3 linked regions of the Anolis sagrei genome follow. The main gene of each other region encodes a partner of the protein of the gene in region 2 in a complex. Links are inferred from orthologs where the notes say so. Each region holds a gene or a part of one and is shown on either strand. Other genes may lie near its edges.

Region 1 (6,953 bases), on a different chromosome or scaffold from region 2:
CCTATCTTTCTTGGCACGATTTCTGCAGAAGAGATTTCCCATTGCCTTCCTCCACAACTGACCGAGAATATGAACCCTGGTTTCCCAAAATCCTAGGCCAATATTCAGGCCACAATGGTCCTTCTGAATTCCTTAGATGTATAATCCTATACTTCCCTGCCAAAGAAAGTGACTTTCCAGGTAAGCCTACTGTTTGTTTATATGATCAGCATATGCAAAATAAATAGAAACATCTGTCACAGGCTCAGAACTAGAAACAAGCATCCCTACTGCACTGCATCCTAAACACTATATCAGGTATGGGCAAACTTGGCCCCTCGCTCCAGGTGTTTTGGACTTCAACACCCACAATTCCTAACAGCCGGTAGGCTGTTAGGAATTGTGAGAGTTGAAGTCCAAAACACCTGGAGGGAGGGGCCAAATTTGCCCATACCTGCACTATATTCAGTAAGTTGGAATTCAAAGCAGACGTGCTCCCAAGTATTTCAACATCCACACGAACCATGTTAAATCATCATCATTAATTAGGAACTGGATTAAGAAGTCCAACTGCAAAGAAATCAACAAGTGAAGCCCTTTTTTGTCACTGCATTGGTATTCTCAGGAAAAGCTGCAAATGCAGAAGGTTGCTGGTTTATTTTGCAGCAGGGGGTTCTCAAGCACCGAAATATAGGCACCAGATTTCCTAATCCAACAGAAACTGACTCTTCACTGTAGAATGAATACAGTTTGGCACCACTTTATCTGTCCTGGTTCAATGTTAGGGAATCCTGTGAGTTATCACTTGTCTTTGGCAAAGAAGGATAAAGACCTTGACAAATAGTGTATCTCAATCTGGGGGTCGAGGGGGGGCTTTAGAGGGGTCACCAAAGACCATCAGAAAACACATATTTCTGATGGTCTCAGGATCCCCTTTGGCACAGAAGGCTGAAGATCTCTCTGTCTGTCCTTCTCTTCCTTTTTGGAAACAGATAGCAAATCCTCCCACCAAAAGCCCTCCTCCTATTCTCTGGATGTTGGTGAACAAACACTCCACAATTCAAGGTCCATACTCACAAAATCTTTCCAGTATTTTCTGTTGTAGGTGAACCACAACTCCAAAACTCAAGGTCAATGCCCATCAAATCCTTCCAGTGTTTTCTGTTGGTCATGGGAGTTCTGTGTGCCAAGTTTAGTTCAATTCCATCGTTGGTGGAGTTCAGAATGCTCTTTGCTTGTAGGTGAACTATAAATCCAGCAACTATAATTACCAAATGTCAAGGTCTGTATTCCCCAAACTCCACTAGTGTTTACATTTGGGCATATTGAGTATTCATGCCAAGTTTGGTCCAGATCCATCATTGTTTGAGTCCACAATGCACTCTGGATGTAGATGAACAACAACTCCAAAACTAAAGATCAATGCCCACCAAACCCTTCCAGTATTTTCTGTTGGTTATGGGAGTTCTGTGTGCCAAGTTTGGTTCAATTTCATAGTTGGTGGAGTTCAGAATGCTCTTTGCTTGTAGGTGAACTGTAAATCCTAGGAATTACAACTCCCAAATAACAAAATCAATCGCTCCCCAACCCCACCAGTATTCAAATTTGGGCGTATCACGTATTTGTGCCAAATGTGGTCCTGTGAATTAAAATACATCCTGTATTTGATATTTATATTACAATTCATAAGAGTAATAAAATGACATGAAGTAGCAATTTAATGGTGGTGGGGGGGGGGGGGGTCACCACAACATGAGAAACTGTACTAAGGGGTCATGGCATGAGGAAGGTTGAGAAACACTGCCTTAGAAGCATTCTCTCCTGACGTTTTGCCTGCATCTATGGCAAGCATCCTCATTTAAATTTAAAATAAATATTTAAGATCTTTTGCTGTGTTTTTAGCTATGAAACAGGTTCAAGCTTCTTAAATTTCATTTACAGTACTTTTTTTGGACTTCTCAACCTCTGAGGATGCTTGCCACAGATGCAGGCGAAACGTCAGGAGAGAATGCTTCTAGAACATGGCCATATAGCCCAAAAAACCTACAACAACCCAGTGATTCCAGCCATGAAAGCCTTCGACAATACACTTGCCTTAGAAGCTAGAAGTGTCTTAATGAATACAGAGCAACAGCCACATTGGGATGGCTGCAGCAATTAAGAAGGCTGAGAACATTCCTAATTAACAGCATTGAGCCAGGGAAGTGAAAGTGGGGCCAAATTGGTTATTGATTGTGATATATATTGATTGTTTTAATTGTTATAACTGTTTAACTGCTGTTTTTATGCATTTTTGTAGTATCGTGTAGGCATCAAATTGTGCCTGTTTGTAAGCCGCCCTGAGTCCCCCCTCGGGGGTTGAGAAGGGCGGGGTAGAAGTACACGAAATAAATAAATAATAAATAAATAAATAAACTGCATCCAGGCTCCAATGTGGCAGCATCCAGGGAAGTACAGTAAAAGTGACCCAGGTTAAAAAAAAGGAACCTTACCTAAAATTCTGGATAACGCTTGATGGAGACAAGGAGCCATAAGTCCTTCCTGAGAAAATAAGACTGGCACGCCTTGGGAGTAAGTCCAAAACACCTGGAGGGAGGAGGGCCCAAGTTTGCCCATACCTGCACTATGTTCAGGAAGTTGGAATTCAAAGCAGAGGCAGATTCCCAAGTATTTCGAGATCCACACTAAACCATCATCATTAAGTAAGAAGTGGGTGAAGAGGTCCAACTGCAAAGAGCCCACCAGCAGGTGCACAGAGAGAGAGAGAGAGAAAGAGAGAGAGAGAAAGAGAGAGAGAAAGAGAGAGGTGGGGGAGAGAGAGAGAGAGAAAGAAAGAGAGAGAGAAAGAAAGAGAGAGAGAGAGAGAGAGAATCATAGAAACAAAGAGTTGGAAGAGACCTCGTGGGCCATCCAGTCCAACCCCCTGCCAAGAAGCAGGAATATTGCATTCAAATCACCCCTGACAGATGGCCATCCAGCCTCTGTTTAAAAGCTTCCAAAGAAGGAGCCTCCACCACACTCCGGGGCAGAGAGTTCCACTGTTGAACGGCTCTCACAGTCAGGAAGTTCTTCCTCATGTTCAGATGGACTCTCCTTTCTTGTAGTTTGAAGCCATTGTATCATTGCGTCCTAGTCTCCAGGGAAGCAGAAAACAAGCTTGCTCCCTCCTCCCTGTGGCTTCCTCTCACATATTTATACAGAGAGAGAGAGAGAAAGAGAGAGAGAGAGAGAGAGAGAGAGAGAAAGAAGGAGAGAAAGAGAGAGAGAAAGAGAGAGAGAGAAAGAAAGAAGGAGAGAGAGGGAGAGAGAAAGAGAGAGGGGGAGAGAGAAAGAGAGAGAGACCCAGCTTTCATCTGTTCTCGCCCCCCATCCCAATTGCACAAGGGCATGCTGTGCAGCTGTCAAGACGCTTCACCCTCTCCCGGGCAGCTAGCTCACAAGTGCTAAGAGGCAGGCAGCAAAGGGGAGAGAGAGAGAAAAGAGGGGGAAAGGAAGAAGAGGAGGAGGAGGAGGAGAAAGAAGGAGCTGGTGCGCAGAAGTCCCCTTACTCAGAAGGAAGAACGAGGTGTGCGCGCGCACATCCCTCCTCCCTCCCTCCCTCCCTCACAGGCGCGCGCACAAACACACACCTCTCTTGCTCTCTTTCGCTCGCGCGCGCGCCAGGCACCAGCACTGAGCGCGCGCGCGTACACACAGAAGGTATCCCTCCGCCCATAAGGCCTTGCTTGAAGAAGCAGGATTACGCTATATAGACTGAGAAGGGAATAGAGTAGCAAAGCAACAGCAGCAGTAGCAGTAGCAGCAGTGGCGGAGGGATTCTTATAACCAAAGTGAAGAGGCCTCCGCGGCGGCAAGCCTTTGCTTCTCTTCACTCTCTCTCTTCTCGAGCGCGCGCTCGACGCCGCCGCCGCCTCGAGCCTCGCCTGCCCTGAGGAAAGAAGAAGAAGAAGAAGGGGAGAAAAGGCCGTTGGAGAGAGAGAGAGAGGGAAAGGAAGCGAAGGAAAGGAAAGGAGGGAGGGCGGCCATTCGCGCCGCAAACGCCTCAGGTGGACCCACCCCCTCGGTCCCCTCCCCCGAGCGACCGCCTTGCCCGCCCGCCTGCCTGCCTTTTCTGCCCTGCTCTGCTCCCTCCCTCCTTCCTTCTTTCCCCGCCGAGGCCCATTGGCTTCCTTCCTCTCCTTCCTTTCCTCCCCCCGCCCCCCTTCCTCTCTCTCTCTCTCTGTCTCTCCCTCTGTCTCTTCACCGGGCCGAAGATGGCAGGCTGGCAGAGCTACGTGGATAACCTGATGTGCGATGGCTGCTGCCAGGAGGCCGCCATTGTCGGCTACTGTGACGCCAAGTACGTCTGGGCCGCCACGGCCGGCGGCATCTTCCAGAGCATTACGGTAAGGAGAAGGAGAAGGAGGGGGAGGGAGGGAGGGAGGAGAGGGAAGGAAGCCATGGGGGGGGGGGGGGAGAAGGAAGGGGGTGGGGAGGAGATCTCCAGAGAGAGAGGGGAGGGAAGGAGACCACGACCCCCGGAGGAGGAGGAGGAAAAGGAGGCCCCGAAGGGCTTGAGCAGAGAAGGCGCCTTCATCTCATGGGAAAAGGAGGGGGGGGGGGGAGGAAATTGCCTCCTCTTCTTCACCTTAGTACTAATAATAATAATGTTTCCCACCCCTCATCTTCACCTTAGTAATATAATAATAATGTCTCTTCCCTCTTCTTCACCTTAGTAGTAATAATGTCTCCCACCCCTCTTCTTCTTCACCTTAGTAATGTAATAATAATGTCTCTTCCCCCTCTTCCTCACCTTAGTAATAATAATAATGTCTCCCGCCCCTCCTCCTCTTCTTCTTTTTCTTCACCTTAGTAATATAATAATAATGTTTCTTCCCCCCCTCTTCTTCACCTTAGTAATAATAATGTCTCCCACCCCTCTTCTTCTTCACCTTAGTAATATAATAATGTCTCTTCTCTTCTTTACCTTAGTAATAATAATAATGTCTCCCGCCCCTCTTCTTCACCAGAGTAATATAATAATAATGTCTCTTCCCTTCTCTTTTTTTACCTTAGTAATAATAATAATAATAATAATGTCTCCCACCCCTCTTCTTCTTCACCTTAGTAATATAATAATGTCTCTTCCCTTCTCTTATTCACCTTAGTAGTAATAATAATAATGTCTTCCTCCCTCATCTCCACCTTAGTAATATAATAATTTCTCTTCCCCTCTCTTCTTCACCTTAGTAATATAATAATAATAGTAATACAGCCTCTCTTCTCCCCTCTTCTTCACCTCTCTTTTCCTCACCTTAGTAATAAGAATTATTATTATACTTTCTCTCTTCCCCTTCTTCACATTCCTCCTTTATCTTAGTAATAATATTCTTATTTACCTCCCCCTCTTCTTCACCTTAGTAATAAGAAGTATTATTATCCTTTCTCTCTTCCCCTTGTTCTTCTTCTTCACAATAATATCAAATGTTTTCTCTCTTCCCTTCTTCACATCCCTCCTCTATCTTCGTAATATTCTTCTTCACCTCCCCCCTCTTCTTCGCCTTAGTAATAAGAATTATTATTATTATACTTTCTCTCTTCCCCCTCTTCTTCATCTACCTCTTCTTCTTCACAATAATAACATAATGCTTTCTCTCTTCCCCCTCTTCTTCTTCTTCTTCACATCCCTTCTCTTTTTCCTAACAATAATGCTTTCTCTCTTCCCTTCTTCACCTCCCTTCTCTTCCTCTTACTAATAATAATGCTTTCTCTCTTCCCCCTCCTTCTTCAGCCCTCCTCCTCTTCCTCACCTTAGTAATAATAACAATAATAATTCTTGATCTCTTTTCCCCTCCTCTTCTTCTTCACACCCCTTCTCTTCTTTTTCATCTTAGTAATAATAATGATGATGATGCCTTCTCTCACCTCCCTCCTCTTCTTCATCTTAGTGCTAATATTGTACACAACATAGTTTTTTTTAAAAAAAAATCCATAAAATACATTAATCAGAATGCATTTCTTATGAATTGCCACCTATTAAAATGCTCAGGATTCAAAAGATCCAAATGCAGCAGGCACAGGACGTGACTTTAAAAGCCATAGTTAAAGCACTGGCTGCTGGCTCCACGCGTGGAAAAGGCGCGTTTTTTTCACACTCCCCCCCTCCTCTCCCCGGTGTGATTCTTCCCCCAGGGCTGGTGGCTTTTCCTGAGAGGCGTGTATGTTTGAGTGTGTGTGTATGTGTCTCGGTGGGCTTCTCAGATGCTTAGAGGAGATGGCAGAAAAGGCCCAGCTTGGGGGTGGGGGGGGGGGGAAGGTGTCAATGGCAAGCGAGCCCCTTCCTTCCTTCCTTCCTTCCTTCCTTGCCTCCCCTCCTCCCGTTCTTCCTCGGCCCTCCTGCGCTAGAGAGGCCTGTCCATTGCGCCTGGGGATGTGGGGTGGGCTCCCTTCCCTTTATCCAGAGCTGCTGCCCCCTCCTTCCCTCCCTCCCTTTAACAGAAGGATGAAAGGCCCTTTTCCCTGGAGGCGGGGCAAGGAAGGAGGCTCGCGTTTTGGGCCTTGGGTGTTCCCCGGGCTCCCTCCTCGGCCCCGGGTCAGCCCCCGGTGGGGAGAGGATCCTCGGGGACCCATTTTGTGCTCGGGGAGGCTGGGGCGGTTGAATGGCCAGCGCCGGTTGAAGCGAAGCCGGCAAATCTGGGGGAAGGCCGGGCCGGGCTGGGCGGAGGCAGAGGCGGGCTCGGGGGCGATCATCTTGGCGCGGCTGGGCGTAGGGTTCCCTCCTCCCCGGCCCGCGTTGCTGGGGAGGGACCTGCGGGTCCCCGCGGAGGAGGCTTTTGTGAATCCGTTCCCCGCTACCGGCTCCATGTTTTTTGCCTCCAAGATGGCGCACTGCCGCTGATTTTTTTAACCCCTCCTTTCCTCCCTCTCTCTCCTCTCCCGAGATATTAATCACCCCTCTTCTTCCTGCACTGCAGTCTTTCTCCTTGTCTTTTTCG
Region 2 (7,415 bases):
GCTTTTAAACAGAGGCTGGATGGCCATCTGTCAGGGGGACTTTGAATGCAATATTCTTGCTTCTTGGCAGGGGGTTGGACTGGATGGCCCATGAGGTCTCTTCCAACTCTTTGATTCTATGATGGTCACTTGTTGGCCTGATTGTTGCTTTGTGTGTGTATACATTTGTGTATATGTGTATATATGTATGTTTTTCAGTGATTTTATGAGTGATGGTCACACATTGGCCTGATACGTGTCTTGTGTCCAAATTTGGTGTCAATTCGCCCAGCGGTTTTTGAGTTATGTTAATCCCACAAACGAACATTACATTTTTATTTATATAGATTTTGATTAATGTTTTTAATGTTTATGTATATGAATTCTTGTTCTGGCATTGAATGTTTGCCTTATATACGCTGTGCTCCGTCCTGAGTCCCCTTCGGGGTGAGAAGGGCAGAATATAAATGTTTCAAATAAAATAAATAAATTTCATGGCACCAACACTGAGCAAAGCGGACCCCATTTGGAAGAAGCAGTGGTATACTGGAGTGAGGAGGGCTGTGATGGATCATGAGTCAAGCCCTGAGAGCTCCAACTAAAGCTAAATTACAAAACATCCCCATGAACCACTAGTCAATTGAAGAAAGGTATTGACAAGCTGGAATGTGTCAAGAGGAGGGTGACTAAAATGATCAAGGATCTGGAGAACAAGCCCTATGAGGAGCGGCTTAAGGAGCTGGGCATGTTTAGCCTGAAGAAGAGAAGGCTGAGAGGAGATATGATAGCCATGTATAAATATGTGAGAGGAAGCCACAGGGAGGAGGGAGCAAGCTTGTTTTCTTCTTCCCTGGAGACTAGGACGCGGAGGAATGACTTCAAACTACAAGAAAGAAGATTCCATCTGAACATCAGGAAGCACTTCCTGACTGGGCAATCTGACAACTAGATAAGGACAAGCAGACGATTAGGACTGACAGGATTGACAATGTGGAAATGGAATTTGGACTATGAGATAGCGAACGCTGACCATCAATGAGGAGTAATTGGGTTTGTATTGGTTTTATTGTTGTAATGCAGGAATGGTTGTTTAACTGTTAATTGATGCTATTTGTTTTATTACTGTTATGTGATGCTGGCATTGAATTGTGCCTTTGTAAGCCGCCCTGAGTCCCCTTCGGGGTGAGAAGGGCGGGGTAGAAGAAACCGAAATAAATAATAAATAAATGTGAGCGCCGTTCAGCAGTGGAACTCTCTGCCCCGGAGTGTGGTGGAGGCTCCTTCTTTGGAGGCTTTTAAACAGAGGCTGGATGGCCATCTGTCAGGGGTGCTTTGAATGCAATATTCTTGCTTCTTGGCAGGGGGTTGGACTGGATGGCCCATGAGGTCTCTTCCAACTCTATGATTCTATATACTGTGCTCAGCCCTGGATCCCCTTTGGGGTGAGAAGGGCGGAATATAAATGTTTTAAATAAATAAATAAATAAATTTTCATGGCACCAACACTGAGCAAAGTGGACCCCTCTTTGGAAGAAGCAGTGGTACACAGCAGTGAGCAGGGGGCTGTGATGGCTCATGAGTCAAGCCCTGAGAGCTCCAACTTTTGAGCTAAATTACAAAACATCCCCATGAAGCACTAGTAGTGAACTCTGTGACTGGGGGCCACCTCTGTTCCAAACCATGGCAGAAGGCAACAGAACACATAGTCAATTGAAGAAAGGTATTGACAAGCTGTGTCAAGAGGAGGGTGACTAAAATGATCAAGGTTCTGGAGAACAAGCCCTATGAGGAGCGGCTTAAAAAGCTGGGCATGTCTGGCCTGAAGAAGAGAAGGCTGAGAGGAGATATGGTAGCCATGTATAATATGTGAGGGGAAGTCCTAGGGAGCTGCCCTGGAGACTAAGACACCGAACAATGGCTTCAAACTATAAGAAAGGAGATTCCATCTGAACATGAGGAAGAACTTCCTGACTGTAAGAGCCGTTCAGCAGTGGAACTCTCTGAGTGTGGTGGAGGCTCCTTCTTTGGAGGCTTTTAAACAGAGGCTGGATGGTCATCTGTCAGGGGTGCTTTGAATGCAATATTCTTGCTTCTTGGCAGGGGGTTGGACTGGATGGCCCATGAGGTCCCTTCCAACTCTATGATTCTACATGCTGTGGTCAGTCCTGGGTCCCTTTCGGGGTGAGAAGGGCGGAATATAAATGTTTTAAATAAATAAATAAATAAATACATTTTCATGGCACCAACACTGAGCAAAGCGGACCCTCTTTGGAAGAAGCAGTGGTACACAGCAGTGAGCAGGGCTGTGATGGCTCATGAGTCAAGCCCTGAGAGCTCCAACTTTTGAGCTAAATTACAAAACATCCCCATGAAGCACTAGTAGTGAACTCTGTGACTTGGGGCCACCTCTGTTCCAAACCATACAGAAGGCAACAGAACACACAGGGCTTGCCTAAAAGAGGAAGGAAGAAGGCTCCTTAAAGAGAGAACGAGAAACTATGGGGCGAGGGTTGACACTTGAAGAGCAAGTGCCCCTCTGGGCCACGAGGCCACTCCTGAGCCAGGTGAGGGAATGAGAAGAGAGAGGTGTGAGGACAGGGAAGGGAGGAGACCCGGAAGGAGGGGGAAAGGGCCACTGAGGGAAGAAACTTCCTGCCTGCCTGCCTCCTCCTTCTCCTCCGCCGGACAGGTGCGCCTCCCCCTCCCCTCCTTTCGTCAACACTCACAAACTTCCGGGACTTCCCCCCTCCTCCTCCTCCTCCGCTGGGGTCTCCCGCCGAAACCGCCGCCACTGTGGGCTCCTCAGGGCTCTTGCCCTTCTTCTTCTCGCGGCCGGCTCCTCGCGCTGACGGACCTCCGCCGCGGCCACTGCCACTACTGCCTCCGCCGCCCTCCATGGCGCCCCTCGAAGCCGGGCCTGAGCGCGCGCGCGCACCGCCGGGGAAGGGAGGGGGAGCCTTCACTCCTCGAGGCGGCCCATCCGCCTCGCGCCGCCGAAAGCCTTCAATGAGACCCCCTCAGAGCTGCCTCGCGCCGGCCCAGCAGCGCGCGCCCGCCCGCTCGCCTGCCTGAACTGCCGGAATCCACGCCCGCCTCGAGAGGCCCCGCCCACCGCCGTGTCGTCACCGCCGCGCGGCCACAAAGCCGCCTCCGCGAAGCAAAAAAAAAAAAAAGTGGGAGATTCGCCTTGAATCGACAACGGTGGAACAGATAGATACACTGTGGATATAGAGCTACGACTTGTAGAGGAGCCTTCCTCAAGTCCGCTGGGGAAGCTTCCAAGTCCCTTGCGTGTTTTCTCTAGGAGGCCAAAGTGTTGAATCATAGAATCAAAGAGTTGGAAGAGACCTCATGAGCCATCCAGTCCAACCCCCTGCCAAGAAGCAGGAATATTGCATTCAAATCACCCTTGACAGATGGCCATCCAGCCTCTGTTTAAAAGCTTCCAAAGAAGGAGCCTCCACCACACTCCGGGGCAGAGAGTTCCACTGCTGAACGGCTCTCACAATCAGGCTAAACATGCCCAGCTCATTAAGCCGCTCCTCATAGGGCTTGTTCTCCAGACCCTTGATCATTTTAGTCGCCCTCCTCTGGACACATTCCAGCTTGTCAATATCTCTCTTGAATTGTGGTGCCCAGAATTGGACACAATTTCAACAGAAAGGAAGAGGCCATGAAAATGAACAAAATCTGGCTACCAGTATTAAAAAACTCTAAAATTACAACAGCAAAACAGCAGAGAGGAAACAACCAGGCACATCTTAACACCTCTCAACAGAGGATTTTCCCAGGCTCAGCCAGGCCTTCAAATGCTAATGAAGGTGGTCAGTTGAAACATTCACACCTAGCTCCAGCAGGGAAGAGCTCCTTGCCACACCCCAGCCATTCCACAGATATATAAACCCATTGTCCTAATTCCAACAGACCTCACTACCTCTGAGGATGCTTGCCATAGATGCAGGCAAAACGTCAGGAGAAATGCCTCTAGAACATGGCCCTATAGCCCGAAAAAACCCACAAGAACCTAGTGATTCCAGCCATGAAAGCCTTTGACAATACATTAGTCAGGAAGTTCTTCCTCATGTTCAGGTGGAATCTCCTTTCTTGTAGTTTGAAGCCATTGTTCCGCGTCCTAGTCTCCAGGGAAGCGGAAAACAAGCTTGCTCCCTCCTCCCTGTGGCTTCCTCTCACATATTTATGCATGGCTATCATATCTCCTCTCAGCCTTCTCTTCTTCAGGCTAAACATGCCCAGCTCATTAAGCCGCTCCTCATAGGGCTTGTTCTCCAGACCCTTGATCATTTTAGTCGCCCTCCTCTGGACACATTCCAGCTTGTCAATATCTCTCTTGAATTGTGGTGCCCAGAATTGGACACAATATTCCAGGTGTGGTCTAACCAAAGCAGAATAGAGGGGTAGCATTACTTCCCTAGATCTAGACACTATGCTCCTATTGATGCAGGCCAAAATCCCATTGAAGCACACGGACAGACAGGCGGGGAATCCAGAGGCGTCCTCGCAACAGGGAATCCCCCGCTTTTTCTCAACCCAGGGCCCTTCCACACAGCTGCATAAAATCACATGTTGTTTGCTTTGTATGCTTGTCCACTGTGCCCTGCCTCATGTACAGAGGAGGAATTGTTGGAGTCTACAGACAATGCCGTAGCTGTTGCCCATTTTTGGTCCAAAGATATTTAGCCGCCTGCGCGCCTTCTATTTTTATCAGTTTTATACACATTTATGCAATGCTTTTGATGCGAAATAAATGTGCTTTGAACTTGGTTCTGTAGCAGTGTGGACTCTTGAGCCCTTCCACACAGCCATACAACTCAGAATATTTATTTATTTACAGCATTTATATACTGCTTTTCTCACCCCTGGGGGGACGCAATATCAAGGCAGAAATTTTCACAATATCTACTTTGAACTGGTTTATCTGAGTCCACACTGCCATAGATTGTGAATTATCCGACTTGAGATTTTGGTTATGTGTCTGTGTGGAAGGGCCCTTAGATAAGCAGATATAGTGGATTATCTGCTTTGAAATTCTTGAGCAATTTCAAGACAGGCCCTGTATCCCAGGATCTGATCCCAGGTTTTCTGTTTAATCCCAGATTATCTGGCAGTGCAGACTCATATAATCCAGTTTAAAGCAGGAAACCTGGGATCAGATCCTGGGATAGAGGGCCTGTCTGGAAAGAGCCCAAGAATATCAAGGCTGATAATTAACAGTATCTGCTTTGAACTCAATTATCTTAGATCTAGAAACAATATCATACAAAAGCTGACTGGCACAACCTGGGGATCACAACCAGATACAGTGAAGACATCTGCCCTTGCGCTATGCTACTCTGCTGCTGAGTATGCATGCCCAGTGTGGAACACATCTCATCACACTAAAACAGTGGATGGGACTCTTAATGAGACATGCCGCATTATCATGGTGTAGGGTCTCTGCGCCCTACACCATTGGAGAAATTACACTGTTTAACCAGTATTGCACCACCTGACATCTGCCAGGAAGTAGCAACCAATAGTAAAAGGATCAAGGCAGTGACAACTCTGGCCCACTCCCTGTTTGGGTATCAGCCAGCACGCAAACGACTTAAATCAAAAAATAATTTTCTAAGATCTACAGAGACACTCGCTGGAACACCTCAGCAAGCGAGAGTCCAAAAGTGGCAGGCTCAAACCCAGAACCTCAATCAATGGCTGATACCAAATGAGAGACTCCCCCCTGGGCACACAGAAAACTGGGCGACTTGGAAGGTGCTGAACAGACTGCGCTCTGGCACTAAAAGATGCAGAGCCAACCTTAAGAAATGGGGCTACAAAGTGGAATCCTCGACATGTGAGTGTGGAGAAGAGCAAACCACTGACCACGTGCTGCAATGCAACCTGAGCCCTGCCACATGCACAATGGAGGACCTCCTTGCAGCAACACCAGATGCACTCCAAGTGGCCAGCTATTGGTCAAAGGACATTTAATAGAATACCAAGTCTGAAAACTTTGTGTTTTGTTTGTTTGTTTGTTTTTAATCCAATACAACTGTTTTGGTTCGCTCCTGACATGATAAATAAATCTTAAATCCACACTGCCATATAATCCAGTACATGTGGATTTTATACAGCTGTGTGGAAGGGGCTCAGTTGTTGGTATATGCTGGTCTTGTACTTTGTCACTAGTTCATCTTATGTGTAAAAAGATTTTAGAAATATTTTTCTGTTTGACTTTTTGAGGCTGGCGACTCGCTCACTGAGGGCCCTTCCAGATAGATGGTCTGGAGTGAGCTATGGCTCCTCTCATTCTTCTCCATCAGGCAATGCTGACTTAGGCTGATGGGAGTCATAGTCTAACACTTGCCAAATATTAAGTTGGAATGAGGTTTTGTTCTTTGGTTACAGAAGATAAAAATATTTCTAGTTTTTAGCTCAAAGTTTTCCAAATAGGCGGTATGTAAGTGTGCTGCGTGATTGTAATGAGAAACCACTCATATAAATCATATAATCTATATAAAAATGTAATGTTTGTTTGTGGGATTAACATAACTCAAAAACTATAATATGAATTGACACCAAATTTGGACACAAGACAAGTGGCCATCATTCATAAAACACTGAAAAACACAGCAGAAAGGACTTAAAAGGCAAAAAAATGCATTACAACACATGCACAAAACCACATATATACACAAACATATATACACACACATATACATATATATACACACAAAAAATACATATACATAGACTGGGCCACAGCAACGTGTGGCAGGGGATGGCTAGTTCTAAAGATATAAATGGAAGCTTCATGAGACATGTTGTATCCCCATGCATTTCCTTATTACTATTTATATATGTGTCCATGTCTCTTCTAAGAGGTTGGTTTAACATCTGGTTTGCTACCAAAACTTAATTACTGAGCCAAGAAAAGATGCAAAGTGTGTCACCAACAGGAAAAGCTTGGACAGCTCTGTTCTAGAGGGTAGCCTCCCTAAATATGAGAAAGGCCTGCTTTTACAATACTATGTTTCCTCTTTGCCCTACCAGGTGAAAGTGACAGCAACCTCCATGAAACATTGAAATAGTTATGATGGCGAGAAGCCGCTGATCCATCCAAACATTGGCAGAACCAGAATTCATTCTCAGTTCTCCTTACATAAAGAAAAGATGTGATTGTGCCTTTAAAGTTGTTGTACAAAAGACTGGCAACAGCCTAGATGTTTCTAATACTGGACTATTTTGCAAGATACCATACATTCAACCTCATGCATATGTCCGCCCCCGCTCAATAGAGTAAACTGTGGCAACAAGCTAGAACTGCGTTTCCCAAAATGGGCAACATTTTCCCCTGGGAAGCTCAGGAATAACACTATGTAACACAATTTTTGTTCCTGGGTTATAAATGTCATTTTCTAATTGGTTCTGTCATAAAA
Region 3 (7,679 bases), on a different chromosome or scaffold from region 2:
GGGACAATGCCTGGCTCGATAGCAGTACGTGTGGAAAAGATCTTGGAGTCCTCGTGGACAGCAAGTTAAACATGAGCCAACCATGTCATGTGGTGGGGGGGAAAGCCAATGGGATTATAGCCTGCATAAATAGGAGTCTAGTGTCTAAATCCAGGGATGTCATGCTACCCCTCTATTCTGCCTTGGTCAGACCACACCTGGAATATTGTGTCCAATTAGAAGGCTGAGAGGAGATATGATAGCCATGTATAAATATGTGAGAGGAAGCCACAGGGAGGAGGGAGCAAGCTTGTTTTCTGCTTCCTTAGAGACTAGGACGCGGAACAATGGCTTCAAACTACAAGAGAGGAGATTCCATCTGAACATTAGGAAGAACTTCCTGACTGTGAGAGCCGTTCAGCAGTGGAACTCTCTGCCCCGGAGTGTGGTGGAGGCTCCTTCTTTGGAAGCTTTTAAGCAGAGGCTGGATGGCCATCTGTCAGGGGTGATTTGAATGCAATATTCCTGCTTCTTGGCAGGGGGTTGGACTGGATGGCCCATGAGGTCTCTTCCAACTCTTTGATTCTATGATTCTATGATTCTATGAATTCTGAACACCACAATTTAAGGGAGATGTTGACAAGATGGAATGTGTCCAGAGGAGAGTGACGAAGATGATCAACGGTCTGGAGAACAAGCCCTATGAGGAGTGGCTTAAAGAGCTGGCCATGTTTAGCCTGCAGAAGAGAAGGCTGAGAGGAGGCATGATGACCATGTATAAATATATGAGGGGAAGTCACAGGGAGGAGGGAGCAAGCCTGTGTTCTGCTGCCCCAGGGACTAGGGTATTGAACTACAGGAAAGGAGATTCCACCTAGACATTAGGAAGAACTTCCTGATTGTGAGACAGAGCTGTTCAGCAGTGGAACTCTCTGCCTCGGAATGTGGTGGAGGGAAGCTCCTTCTTTGGAGGCTTTTAAAGAGAGGCTGGATGGCCATCTGTTGGGGATGCTTTGAATGAAATTTTCCTGCTTCTTGGCTGAAGGGTTGGATTGGATGGCCCACGAGGTCTCTTCCAACTCTATGATTCCATGAAAAGCAGTATACAAGCGAAGTAAATAAATAAAGAGAAGGTTCCAGGAGAAGAAGGAAGGAAAGGTATAAGAGCAAGCTAGAGGATGCCTGCTTGCTTTGGTTGATTGGTTGGTTGGGTGGCATCAGAGGGGGTTTGTGGTGGGAAAAGAGGGTTGAGATGGCGGAGATGGCATGGAAAGTGTCCTGGGTGCTGTGAGGAAGAGTAAGGAGAGGAAGAAGGAAGCTCTAAGGGCCCTTCCACACAAGGCAGAAAATCCCATGTTATCTGAGTGTGAACTCAGAAAACCCAGTTCATAGCAGATATTGTGGACTGTGTGGAAGGGCCCTGAGTCTACAATCAGATAATGTGGGATTTTCTGTCTGGATATTCTGGGATGTGTGGAAGGGGCCTGAGTCTACATTCAGATAATGTGGGATTTTCTGCCATCATATTCTGGGATATAGGGATGTGTGGAAGGGGCCTGAGTCCACACTTAGATCATGTGGGGTTTTCTGCTTTGGTATTCTGGGATATAGGGCTGTATGGATGGGCCCTGAGTCCACACTCAGATATTGTGGGGTTTCCTGCCTTAATATTCTGGGAAATAGGGATGTGAGGAATGGCACTGAGTCCACACTCAGATAATGTTGGGTTTGCTGCCACAATATTCTGAGATATAGGGTTGTATGGAAGGGCCCTGAGTCCACACTCAGAACACGTGGGGTTTCCTGCCACAATATTCTGAGATATAGGGCTGTGTGGAAGGGCCTGAGTCCACACTCAGGTATTGTGGGGTTTCCTGCCTTAATATTCTGAGATATAGGGCTGTGTGGGAGGGCCTTGAGTCCACACTCAGATAATGTGGGGTTTCCTGCCACAAGGGGGGCGGGGGGGGGAGGCTGGTCCCAAGGCTGATATAGGGCTGTGTGAAAGGAGCCTGAGTCCACACTCAATGTGGGGTTTTCTGCCTTGGTATTCTGGGATATAGGGCTGTGTGGAAGGGCCCTGAGTCCACACTCAGATATTGTGGGGTTTCTTGCCTTAATATTCTGGGAAATAGGGATGTGAGGAAAGGCACCGAGTCCACACTCAGATAATGTGGGGTTTCCTTCCACAATATTCTGAGATACAGGGCTGTGTGGAAGTGGCCTTGGTCCACACTCAAATAATGTGGGGTTTTCTGCTTTGACATTCTGAGATATAGGGCTGTGTGGAAGGGGCCTGGGTCCACACTCAGATAATGTGGGGTTTCCTGCCTTGAGATTCTGGGATAGAGGGCTGTGTGGCAGGGCCCTTTGGTGCCTTGGGGAGACAGAAGGAGCGGGCTGTGTGCGGGGGGAGAAGGGCTTGGGGTCCAAGATGAGTCTGTGGGCATGCAAGGCTTTGGCAGAAGGCGAGGAGGCTGGATGCTGAATGCGTGAGGAAGGTGTGGGTCCTGATCAGAGGATGCGGGAGGCGCCAAGGGAGGGAGAAGGCCATCGGAGATGCAGGCAAGGCTGCAGAGGAGACACTGTGTCATGGATTGCATTTTGGGGAGAAGATGGGGGAGACAGAATAGGGGGGGGGGAGGAGGGAGGCTGGTCCCAAGGCTGAGCATCCTGGGATGCTCAGGAATGGAAGAGGGGTGCCTTTGGGGGAGGAAAGGCTCCCGGGAGATGCGGTCTTCCTTCCCAAGGGCCGGCCGGGCTCCTTACCTGTCTTTGCAGCAGGCGGGGGAGGCGATGCAGGCGGCGGCGGCGGTGCTGCTGCGGGAGGGATGCGGGAGGGCGCCTCCTCCGCGGCCGGCCTTCACGGGTCCCCGGCGCCCATCCCCGGCATCCCTCCCTCCCTCCCGCCCTCCCTCCAGCCGGCCGGTCGGTCGGCCACCGCCTGGCAGCCCCCCTCCGAGGCAGACCCAGCCAGCGAGAAGAGGAGGAGGAGGAGGAGGAGGAGGAGGAGGAGGAGAAGCAGGAGCCCAAGCCCGCCCCTTGGCTCGGCGCAAAGCTCGCGGCGCGCCTGCCCCTTTAAGGGAGCCTTGACTGACCGGCCCTCTGGCCACTCCGCGCCCGGGAAGCTCGGGGACAACCCTTGAGGCACCGCCCCTCGGTGGGTAAGGGCGGGGGGAGGCGGGCTGCGAGTGGCACGGCGGCCAAGCCAATGAATGGGGAGGCGGGTGGGCGGAGGGGAGGGGGCCGCGGGGAGCCAATGGGGGAAGCCTGGGGGCGGGGCCGAGTTTTAGGATGATGTCATGCGGTGGTCCTTTCGGAAAAAGGAGGGGGAAGAGAGGAAGAAGGGGAGGAAAAGGAGGAAAGAGGTGGAGGGGGGGGGGAGGAGGAGAGAAAGGAATCAGATGCATCGCAGGTAAAAACGGGGTGAGGGGAGGGAGGGGAGGCAGGCAAAGGGGGGGAAAAGGGCATGACACCCATGAAACATGGATGCTACTACTGTCCGGTGGAGAAAAGAAGGAGACGCTGCAGCAAAGGGCGGAAAAATGCACCAAAATGCGGAAAGGGAAGGGAAAGGACATGCCACAGATATAGAAACCCCACGTTTCTAGTTTCCAGCAGACCTCACAACCTCTGAGAATGCCTGCTATAGATGTGGGTGAAACGTCAGGAGAGAATGCTTCTGGAACATGGTCACACAGCCCGGAAAACTCACAGCAACCCCGTGATTCCGGCCATGAAAGCCTTCGTTGGAGCAGAGGAAGGCACCGATTCCTGCAGTGTATTGGGGGTGGCCTCTAAAGCAGGGGCCACATGGAGAGAAGGCTTGAATGGGGCCGTTGGAAATGCAGCAAGCAGGGATGGGGAGGGGAGGAAAGAAAGAATGAAGGACCCAAAAGCAAAGCCAGCTCGCCTCCCCAAATGCTCAACTCCAGCAAAAGGATTGGGTGAAAGGGATAGAAAAGGGAAGGAAGGACCCAAAAGCAAAGCAAGCTTGCCTCCCCAAATGCACAACACCACCAAAAGGATGGGGTTAAAAAAAGGGAAGGGAAGGAAGGACCCAAAAGGAAAGCCAACACCCCCCCCCCCCAAATGCACAACTCTATCAAAAGGATGGGGTGAAAGGGATAGAAAAGGGAGGGAGGGAGGACCCAAAAGCAAGCTCCTCTCCCCAAATGCACAACTCCAGCAAAAGGATGGGGTTAAAAAAGGGAATTGACAGGAAGAACCCAAAAGGAAAGACAGCTCTTTTCTCCAAATGCACAACTCCAGCAAAAGGATAGGGTGAAAAGGATAGAGAAGGGAAGGAAGGAAGGAAGGAAGGAAGGAAGGAAGGAAGGAAGGAAGGAAGGAAGGAAGGGAGGAAGGGGACTCAAAAGCAAAGCAAGCTTGCCTCCCCAAATGTACAGCTCTAGCAAAAGGATGGGGTTAAAGGAAGGGATGGGAAGGGAAGGAAGGACCCAAAAGCAAGCTCCTCTCCCCAAATGCAGAACTCCAGCAAAAGGATGGGGTTAAAAGAAGGGAAGGGACAGGAAGGAATGACCCAAAAGGAAAGCCAGCTCTTCTCCCCAAATGCACAACTCCAGCAAAAGGATGGGGTTAAAGGGATAAGAAAGGAAGGGAGGGAGGACCCAAAAGCAAAGCAAGCTTTCCTTCCCAAATGCACAACTCTAGCAAAAAGATGGAGTTGAAGGAAGGGATGGGAAGGGAAGGAAGGACCCAAAAGCAAGCTCCTCTCCCAAATGCACAACTCCAGCAAAAGGATGGGGTGAAAAGAAGGGAAGGGAAGGACCCAAATGGAAAGCCAGCTCCTGTCCCCAAATGCACAATTCTAGCAAAAGGATGGGATTAAATGAAGGGAAGGAAGGGAAGACCCAAAAGCAAGTTCCTCTCCCCAAATGCACAACTCCAGCAGAAGGATGGGGTTAAAGGGATAGGGAATGGAAGGGAAGGATGGAAGGACCCAAAAGCAAGCTCCCCTCCCCAAATACACAACTCCGGCAAAAGGATGGGGTTAAAGGAAGGGAAGGAAGGACCCAAAAGCAAAGCCACCCCCCCCCCCCCCCGCCCAATGCACAACTCTAGCAAAAGGATGGGGTTAAAAGAAGGAAAGGAAGGACCAAAAGCAAGCTCCTCTCCCCAAATGCACAACTCTAGCAAAAGGATGGGGTTAAAGGAAGAGAAGGGACCCAAAAGCAAGTTCCTCTTCTCAAATGCACAACTCCAGCAGAAGGATGGGGTTAAAAGAAGGGAAGGGACAGGAAGGAAGGACCCAAAAGGAAGCACAGCTCCCCTCCCCAAATGCACAACTCCAGCAAACGGATGGGGTGAAAGGGATAGAGAAGGGAAGGCTGGAAGGACCCAAAAGCAAGCTTTCCTCCCTAAATGCACAACTCCAGCAAAAGGACGAGGTTAAAGGGATAGGGAATGGAAGGGAAGGATGCAAGGACCCAAAAGCAAGCTCCCCTCCCCAAATGCACAACTCCAGCAAAAGGATGGGGTTAAAGGAAGGGAAGGAAGGACTCAAAAGCAACCCCCCCCCCCAATGCACAAGTCTAGCAAAAGAATGAGGTTAAAAGAAGGAAAAGAAAGGGAAGAAAAGACCTAAAAGCAAACTCCTCTCCCCAAATGCACAACTCCAGCAGAAGGATGGGCTAAAGGAAGGGAAGGGAAGGACCCAAAAGCAAAGCCACCCCCCCCCCCAATGCACATCTCCAAGCGAAAGGATGGGGTTAAAGGAAAGGAGGGAAATGCACCAGCCCATGCAACCTAAGGGAGAAAGCCACCAAGGAGAGGCAGCAGCTCTGTTGAACTCAGAAGCCATACATAGGTAAACCTCCAAAGAGCCTGGTCAAAAAAGGAAGGGAGTGTGGCACATCCCTACAACCACGTGCTCCAGAGAAATGCACCAATTTGCACAAGTCAGTGGTTGCAAAATAAATAAATAAATAAACCCATTGCATCCCTCTATTAAACTCATCTGTGCAAAAAGGACACATGAAGCAATGCCCTGCGAGGGAAGGAGAGGCCCCTTCCTTTCCTGGAACCTGCCAGTTTCAGGAAAACCCAGGAAATCTGTCACGAGCCACAGTAGGAGACAAGGCGAGAAGTCGAAAAATAAAAATCAATGCGTGGAGGTAAAGAACTGCCAATCGATGCAAGAGAGAGGATCCGAAGGGAGAAGGGAGAGAGCCATGCATCATGAAGGAAGAAGGGCCTTTCCAGATGGCATTGCATTGGATTGGGAAAGGGAGGGGGGAATCTGGTCACACGTTTTATTCTGGGCACTGTAGAAATGTTAGCTCTGAATCAACACAGCAGCAATATCTTCTGCCCTCGTGGAAAGGAACACAGGGTGAAAAATTGGGACAGGTGTGCACATTGCGGCTGGGAAACACAGAAACACCCCCCCCCCCCCAAATAGAAAAACGGGCCATGAGTTGCCAGGGCAATATGACTTGAGAAATACACTGTCTCAGGCCCCTTGTTCACAGATGTATAAAATCCAGATTATCTGCTTTGAGCTGGATTATCTGGCAGTGTAGAGTCAGATTTTTTTGTTTCAGGAGCAACTTGAGCCCCCAATAGTGCATCAGGTTAAACCACTGAGCTGCTGAACTTGCTGACCAAAAGGTCAATGGTTCAAATCCAGGGAGCAGGGTGGGCAGTTCAAAAACATGCAAATGTGGGAAGATGAGTAGGTGGATAGGTACCGCTTTGGTCATGCCAACCACATGACCTTGGAGGTGTCTATGGACAATGCCGGCTTCAGCTTAGAAATGGAGATGAGCACCACCCCCCAGAGTCAGACACGAGTGGATTTAATGTCAGGGAAAACCTTAATCTTAGCGACTTGAGAAACTGCAAGTCATTTCTGGTGTGAGAGAATTGGCCGTCTGCAAGGACATTGCCCAGGGGTTTGATGTTTTATGTTTTACCATCCTTGTGGGAGGCTTCTCTCATGTCCCTGCATGGGGAGCTGCAGCTGACAGAGGGAGCTCATCTGCACTCTCCCGGATTTGAACCTCCAACCTGTCAGTCTTCAGTCCTGCCAGCACAAGGGTTTAACTCATTGCACCACCGGGGGATCCTAGACTCAGATAATCCAGTTCAAAGCAGATCATCCACATTATCTGTATTGATATTCTGGATTATATGGCAGTGTAGAAGGGCTCTCAATCTCATAGGGAGGTACAGGCATTTCTAATAGCAAGACATGAAGAGTAAAGACAAAGATCCAGAGGAAAGGTGTTCTTACCATACATCAAGGAAACAACTGACAGCATAAGGAAGCAGAGGAATTCCTGACAATAATCAATAAGGACCAGCTAACACCTCCAAACAAAGGATTCTCCCAGGCATCAATCAGCCAGGTTTTGAAGCTGCAAGGCCATTAAATGCTAATCAAGCTGGCCAATTGCAACATTCACACTTGCCTCAAGCAGACAAGAGTTCTTTCTCCCAGCCTGGACATTATTCCACAGATATATAAACCTCACTGGCCTAGTTTCCAGCAGACTCCTCAACCCTTTGAGAATGCCTGCCATAGATGTGGGTGAAATGTCAGGAGAGAAGGCTTCTGGAACATGGCCATACAACCCGGAAAACTCACAGCATCCCATTTCTAGCTGTACACTGCCCTCTTGTGGTTGCATACAGAGATACTTTTTTATTCATTTTTTGGGGGTCCCACCATAAAA

Evidence for each region. Proteins that work in one complex are often made in the same cells at the same time.
Region 1: the proteins of DIAPH1 (region 2) and PFN2 are in contact, whole or in part, in a crystal structure (PDB 2V8F), measured with the Mus musculus proteins. The link is inferred for Anolis sagrei from reciprocal best matches to the Homo sapiens genes DIAPH1 and PFN2. Residues at the interface, in NP_031884.1 of Mus musculus: Ile635, Pro636, Pro637, Pro638, Pro639, Pro640, Leu641; in NP_062283.1 of Mus musculus: Ala2, Gly3, Trp4, Ser6, Tyr7, Asn10, Ala28, Tyr30, Trp32, Arg108, Met131, Tyr134, Leu135, Ser138, Phe140.
Region 3: the proteins of DIAPH1 (region 2) and PPFIA3 are in contact, whole or in part, in a crystal structure (PDB 4UWX), measured with the Mus musculus proteins. The link is inferred for Anolis sagrei from reciprocal best matches to the Homo sapiens genes DIAPH1 and PPFIA3. Residues at the interface, in NP_031884.1 of Mus musculus: Lys252, Ser255, Ala256, Ile259, Gln307, Asn310, Ala311, Thr314, Pro315, Ala316, Glu317, Arg322, Gln352, Cys354, Val355, Glu358, Gln359, Glu362; in NP_084017.2 of Mus musculus: Pro719, Arg720, Arg723, Leu724, Arg726, Met727, Ala728, Ala730, Leu731.

The regions. Positions count from the first base shown.
Region 1 is NC_090023.1:240,960,795-240,967,747, reverse strand, and holds the start of PFN2 (profilin-2), read left to right. Parts: upstream 1-3,871; 5' UTR 3,872-4,232; coding exon 4,233-4,364; intron 4,365-6,953. UniProt on the Homo sapiens protein: Binds to actin and affects the structure of the cytoskeleton. At high concentrations, profilin prevents the polymerization of actin, whereas it enhances it at low concentrations. By binding to PIP2, it inhibits the formation of IP3 and DG.
Region 2 is NC_090024.1:135,161,864-135,169,278, reverse strand, and holds the start of DIAPH1 (protein diaphanous homolog 1), read right to left. Parts: upstream 3,087-7,415; 5' UTR 2,877-3,086; coding exon 2,706-2,876; intron 1-2,705. UniProt on the Homo sapiens protein: Actin nucleation and elongation factor required for the assembly of F-actin structures, such as actin cables and stress fibers. Binds to the barbed end of the actin filament and slows down actin polymerization and depolymerization.
Region 3 is NC_090026.1:28,515,824-28,523,502, forward strand, and holds the start of PPFIA3 (liprin-alpha-3), read right to left. Parts: upstream 3,083-7,679; 5' UTR 2,749-3,082; intron 1-2,748. UniProt on the Homo sapiens protein: May regulate the disassembly of focal adhesions. May localize receptor-like tyrosine phosphatases type 2A at specific sites on the plasma membrane, possibly regulating their interaction with the extracellular environment and their association with substrates.